2 linked regions of the Macaca fascicularis genome follow. The protein of the gene in region 1 interacts with the protein of each later gene in a biochemical or structural test. Links are inferred from orthologs where the notes say so. Each region holds a gene or a part of one and is shown in the gene's direction. Other genes may lie near its edges.

Evidence for each region.
Region 2: the proteins of UBE2E1 (region 1) and TRIM23 form a complex in vitro, tested with the Homo sapiens proteins (4 studies listed by BioGRID, with this or other methods). The link is inferred for Macaca fascicularis from reciprocal best matches to the Homo sapiens genes UBE2E1 and TRIM23.

Annotation. Positions count from the first base shown.
Region 1 is NC_088376.1:24,467,728-24,470,913, reverse strand, and holds part of UBE2E1 (ubiquitin-conjugating enzyme E2 E1), read left to right. Parts: intron 1-1,849; coding exon 1,850-1,982; intron 1,983-3,186. UniProt on the Homo sapiens protein: Accepts ubiquitin from the E1 complex and catalyzes its covalent attachment to other proteins. Catalyzes the covalent attachment of ISG15 to other proteins. Mediates the selective degradation of short-lived and abnormal proteins.
Region 2 is NC_088380.1:71,304,911-71,308,564, reverse strand, and holds part of TRIM23 (E3 ubiquitin-protein ligase TRIM23), read left to right. Parts: intron 1-1,380; coding exon 1,381-1,596; intron 1,597-3,654.

The DNA of each region.
Region 1 (3,186 bases):
ACACAAAATTAGCCAGGCATAATGGCGCATGCCTGTAATCCCAGTTACTCAGGAGGCTGAGGCAGGAGACTCGGTTGAACCCGGGAGGCGGAGGTTGCAGTGAGCCGAGATCGTGCCATTGCACTCTAGCCTGGGCAACAAGAGCAAAACTCCGCCTTTAAAAAAAAAAAAAAGAAAGAAAATCTCTCTCTGTATCTAATCTAAAACAAATTTTTTGGTGGCTTACACTTACAATCCCAGCACTCTGGGAGGCTGAGGTAGGAGGATTGCTTGAGCCCAGGAGTTCAAGACCAGCCTGGGCAACATAGTGAGACCTCAGTCTATACAAATGAAACAGAAAACATTAGCCAGGTGTGGTGCTGTATGCCTGTAGTCCCAGCTACTCAGGTGGCTAAGGTGGGAGGATCACTGGAGCCTAGAAGTCAAGGCTACAGTGACCCGAGATCGTGCCACTCACTGCATTCCAGGCTGGGTAGTGGATCAAGACCATTTCAAAAATAAAAAGTAAAGCAAGTTTTTAATAGTTTTTGGTAATACCCATCACAAAGAGATATTAAAGGATTAATAATGGTGATCTCACTGCTGTTTAATGAGAGAATACTCGTGGGTGTGTGTTGCTCTATAGTTTCCTTCTTTCTCTCACTTAATTCTGAAAACATTCCTGTGAGGTAGACAGTGTCCGAGCTCTTTCTGCCTCTTGGCCAGTCTGGGCCCTGTTCTTCCCATTACCCGCTATTCGGTTGCCCATACTTTCTCCCACCTTTTTTGCCATGTCATGTTTTCTTCCTCAGCTTGTATTCTCCTCTGCTTTTCCTTTGTAATAGCTCATTCCCCTAACCTGTTGCATCTCTCACACCAAATTTCAGACCAAGAGAAAAACGGGATGGGTTTGGGGCAAGTACAGGCCCATGGGTAGGCTTTTTATTCCCTCCGTCTTCATCTCTTCTTTCTCTTAAATGGAGGCATCAGACTTTGTAACCAGTTAGCAGAGGGCATCTTGAAGGAGTTGGTCTTGTTCAGTATCAAAACTCCTGACATTTAACCCTCTGCCTAGTACATGGGCATTCAGTAAATGAGTGAATAAATCCAATTCACATCGTATATTTAGTTAAAAGAGTAGTTTTGCTGGGCGCAGTGGCACTCCAGAAGCCAACACAATGCTTTAGAATGGTGGCCAAATTATGGTGCACCCATGTAACAGTGATTTATAGTAACAGCTAACGGGGTTGGAGGAATGTCTTTAAGTATTAAATTTAGAGAACCCAATTACGGAATACATATTGAAATGAAAATTGAATAACCTGTAACTGGATACTTACCATTCTTCTCCCTCTCCCACCTAACATGGTTTATAATGTAAAAAGTATGGCCATCTATTAGATTCTTTTTAAGGTGAGATTATAGAGATACAAGAGCAAGGAAGAACCAGTTAGTGGGTCAGAAAATGAAACTTCTGTGCTTAAGATGGTCATAAATGATGTAGCTCTGAGCAGAAACTGCTGTCATTTGTCACTAATTTAGCTTCTAGGTGCTGAGATGTGTTTCTCATTTAAATATTGTTTACACTTTCCTACGTGTCAAGGAGAGGTTTGAGAATTGAGGCAAGTTTCCTGCTTCTTCGTAGCTAGGTAGGCTTAGAATGGTTTTAACATTCTTTTCTCATCCACTTTACTTACTTGACCACTGGCTATGGGTTTGTGGCAGTTCTGCATCCATTTCTGTACTTGTTTTGTAAAGAGAATCCACACAGTAAACGAGAGGAGAGAGGTAATCTTTCCATCCTTTGTAGTACACTGTAAAAATTGGGATAGTGCCACCATCTGCTTATTTGTTGATGTATTATTCACAGTGCTGGTCCCAAAGGTGATAACATCTATGAATGGAGATCAACCATTCTAGGGCCTCCAGGATCCGTGTATGAGGGTGGTGTATTCTTTCTCGATATCACTTTTACACCAGAATATCCCTTCAAGCCTCCAAAGGTAAGAAATCTCCCTGTATGCTCAAATTTACTAATTCCCACAAGAGAGCAACTGTTGAGGTTTTTCTAAATTTAATTTTTAATCACAAAACCTAGATTTATCTTATGTCCTATAGATCTGAGTATTTTAACATATACAAAACACTTCTTTAGGTTGATTTTGCCTTATCTGGCAGAGACCATTCTAGGTGTAAGTGCTTTGTTTTGATGGTGCTTAAAATTGCGCTATTTATAGTAATATTGTCATCAACCTAGAATTAATCCCCCGTTTTCCAGCCCATAGAGAAGGGTTTTAAACAGTTAAAAATGGCGTCAAGCCAGGTGCAGTGGTGTGCACCTGTAGTCCGGCTACTTGGGAGGACTGTTTGAGCTCAAGAGTTTGAGTCCAGTCTGGGCAACAAAGCGAGACCCCCAAAAAAGGAGGCAGGACAGGTCAGGGGGTCAAACAACTAGAGAATCAGAATCTCTTACCAAAGTTTTGGATTCTATTCTGCTCCCTGTCATGTTTTGGTCTTGCTCAATTCCTTACCTCCAGGCCTCAGTTTTCTTTCTAGGAGAGGTGGGGATTGCCCAAGTCACCCAGCTCTTGTACTCACCCAAGTCACCCATCTCTTGTACTCAATCTGTGATTCTCATTCAGTCAGAAATAAAACGCAGTCTTTGGGGATTAGGTAGACTGCCAGATAAAATACAGTTGCAGCAACAAGAAGTAATTGAAAGTCACTTTTTTAAAAAACTGGTAAAATTACAGGTAATTTTTACTTTGTGTTTTGGTATATTTCACAAATAAAAATTAAGAGACCAAATAACACCTGCTCATGTGGCTTGTGTTCTGCTGTGGTCCTTGCCCATTACTGGCTCTGCATCCATGGACACTCGATTACATAGATAGTAAATTCTGTGATTTAGGTAGACAGGATGTCTGTGGGACCTGATGTAAAGGTCAGAAAAAAGCAGAAGTAGACTTCTCTTCAAATTTTGTTCAGCTTTTTGGGTGTAGTCATTGTTTGCTAAGTATGTTGTTTAATTATCTTTAGGTACCTATTATGTTGCACTTCAGTTTTTAAGAGAGACTTACGATTTTAAATATTTTAAAGCTTTTAAGTATTTTAAAGCTTACTTTGAGGCAGTGTAGTACTACCAGCTAGCACAAGAGGTCAGCAAACAATTACCTATTCAGACTTGGAAATGTTAATATTTAAAAG
Region 2 (3,654 bases), on another chromosome or scaffold:
TTTTCTTCTTCCCCTTTCTCCTTGTTTTTTATTTTTCATATTTTCACCTTCTACTAAGTATTTAATGAGCAATTACAATTTGCTAGTATTGCACCAGTCATTGGAAAGTTTTTTAAAAGTCCCTGTGTTTAAGGAAGTCATTCATCACGGAACAGAGAGAGTTTTAAATGTGGTGACTATTTTATGGAGGAGAAGTACAGGGTGCTTTGGCATCACAAAACGGGCAATGATTTATGGAGGTCAGAGAAATCTTTAGAGAAGAAACAATGTTTAAACTGAGATTTGAAGAAATTCAGTCAAGGAAAAGAGCAGAATGGGGAATGAATTGTCCCAAGAAGGGAGCAATATGTTAAAATGTTTGGAAGTGAGAATTGGACATATTGTAGAGACTTAAAGAAGCTCACTAGTTAGAGCTTTGAATATTGAATGGGACATGACAAGAAAAGAGGATATGGAGAGTTCAAAGCCAAATCATGCAGGATCTCGTCAGCCATGTTAATAAAGAGTTCAGAACTTAGTTTAAGGACAGTGACGAGCCATTGAAGAATTGACATAGGAATGACATGATCAGATTTTCCTTAAGAAAGGCTGTTTTAAATGTAGAAAATGAATTGGAGGAGCAACAAAATTGGAAGTAGGTAGACCTATTAGGATGTTGTTAAAGTTTTCTAGTTAAAATTCTAGAGATGCTTATGGCCTATAATACACTAGGGTAGAGAGAGTGGACACAAGTTGATGGATTTAAGATTTTAAAGAAGTAGAATAGATAGGTCTTAGTGATTAATTGTTAATATTGATTGGATAGGTAACTTGGAGGTGATGAGGCATGATCAGATTCTGGAGGTATTTTGGAATTGGCTGAGGGACTAATGGGCTATGAAAGAGAGGTGATCATCATGACTCCAATTTTGTTTGCTTTCATCCTGATGGATGGAGTTGCCATTTACCAAGACAGAGACAATTAGGTTTGGGAATAGGGGAGACTGGAGATTAGGCATTCCATTTTGCTTGAGATGTCATTTATAAACAGTTGAATTTCCAATGTCTGTGCATTAGGGGAAAGATCTAGCATGGAGATTTATATTTTGGAATTTAATATAGATGGTATTTAAACAACGTCTTGCTCGGTCACCCAGGCTGGCATGCAGTGATGTGATTACGACTCACTGCAGCCTTGACTTCTGGGGCTCAATCAGTCCTCCCACCTCAGCCTCCTGAGTAGCCGGGACTACAGGCACATGCCACCACGCCTGGCTAATGTTTTCTATTTTTCGTAGAGACAGGGTTTTGCCATGTTGCCTAGGCTGAAATTTTAAATATTTCACAGGTAAAATCTTTATTAACATTACAGTTGCTTAAAATTTATTTTCATTTTCTTAGGTACCAGGGACTGCAGAGAATGCCCGGTCATGTATTCGAGCATATTTTTATGATCTACATGAAACTCTGTGTCGTCAAGAAGAAATGGCTCTAAGTGTTGTTGATGCTCATGTTCGTGAAAAATTGATTTGGCTTAGGCAGCAACAAGAAGATATGACTATTTTGTTGTCAGAGGTTTCAGCAGCCTGCCTCCATTGTGAAAAGACTTTGCAGCAGGTAGGTAGTTTAAATGTGGTTAGGGTCTTAGTTGTAAGTTTAAGTAGATAATTACCAGAGGTATACATTAGTGTATTTTATTATTATTTTGTGTCTGCTGTATGCAGTAACTTTGTGCTGAGGACATAGTCTGCAACCTTGAATTATTTCACTAGTGTGGAATTATCAGTGCCCTCTCGTTCATGTGCCCTCCCCATCTTGAGCCATGGGTTCTTGAAGCCTTCTAACTTCTTGCCATTCTTCAGTTAATGCCAAATCCTTTTATTCTTCTTTGCCAAGCATATATGTACTGTTTTTTTTTTTCCTGCTTGGAGTGCATATATCTCTCTTTTCTTATAGTGGAAATCTTCCTTCTCCTTCAAGGTCCAGCTTAAATGTTTGCCTTTCTTTGAAGCTTTCTCTTTGTTGGTCTTTTTTTGAGTGCCCCTCTAGCATGTACTGCCTACCTCTGCTGTAATTCGATGGTTCTTCACTGTTAGAACAAACGTATGTTTTGTGCTGGTTGAGATACCATAAGCAATTTGTTACCCAGTTTGCAGATGACTTACTTTTTTTTTTTTTTTTTTTTTTTTTTTTTGAGACGGAGTCTCACGCTGTTGCCCAGGCTGGAGTGCAGTGGCGCGATCTCGGCTCACTGCAAGCTCCGCCTCCCGGGTTCCCGCCATTCTCCTGCCTCAGCCTCCTGAGTAGCTGGGACTACAGGCGCCCGCCACCGCGCCCGGCTAATTTTTTTTTTTTTTGTATTTTTAGTAGAGACGGGGTTTCACTGTGGTCTCGATCTCCTGACCTTGTGATCCGCCCGCCTCGGCCTCCCAAAGTGCTGGGATTACAGGCTTGAGCCACCGCGCCCGGCCATGACTTACTTTTTAAATAAGTGAGGCTCAAAGTTATTCTGACACAAATGTCAGCCTTACCCATTTGTGTTTTGGATCTGTTTTCCTAAGTGTGAGGTATAAGGATAACTATTGCCCTAGGAATTTCAGAAAAGCTGCAGTCTGTGTTATCTTCACTGATATATTGCTGATAATTGTGTTGATTTCAAATCATTGTAGGCTAAGCCTTTTACCATTGTAGAGCTTTTTCTCTTAAGTATCTGATTACACTTACATGAAAGTGGCCAGTCTATAGCCTCATCAGTCTTGGATTATCATTGAGTCCTTACTACACTGAATTGTAACAGTTGATATGTATGCTATTTATTAAGTTGATTTTCAGCTCCAAACCTACTCTTCTATCCTCTGCTTTGTGATACTAGGGCTAGAACTCTATAGACCTCGTAATTGTGTTGCCAGCTGGACCCATGTTAGGTACTGTCAAAAGGGGGCATAGTTACTCATGTTAGGAGACCACCCTTCCTGGAGGTTTGAGTTTCAGCTCCGTGAGCCCCTCCTGCAAGTTTCTAAGTTTTAATAATTCTAACCTCTTCCTTTTATTCCCTCAGCACTGGAAGTGGTAGCTATATTATTTCATACAATTGCTACCTCCATAATACCTCAGAGTTCCTTTTATCCTTTTAGCTACCTCGTTAATAACCACACCTAGTTAACAGTTTTTATTTTAAGTTCTTTCTATTCAAATAGTGGTGTGATTTGTGTCTTCTGATTTGACCTCGAATGACAATATGCCTGTGTGTTTTAGATGCTGACCTTGTTCATCTTTGATGCATCTTGATGCATCTTGTTCATCTTTGTGTCACTGAATTCTTTGCATCTAGATAGAAGAACTTAATAACTACATGTTTAACTCATGGCGGATAATGAAGCTACACAGCAAAATCAGAGTGGAATCGTGTCCTAAATCATACTAACTTGAATACTTAAAAGTATATTCATATTTATTTTATGAAAAAGTATGTTCATAGTTACTGAAATATTTAAGTGTTTTAGAGTTTCTGAAGTGTTGTGCCAAAATGACTGGTATATTAGTCCATTTTCACACCGCTCCACAGATACTACCCGAGACTGGGTAATTTATAAAGGAAAGGGGCTTAATTTACTCACAGGTTTGCATGGCTGGGGAGGCTTCAGGAAAGTTACATTCATGGTGGAAGGCAAAGGG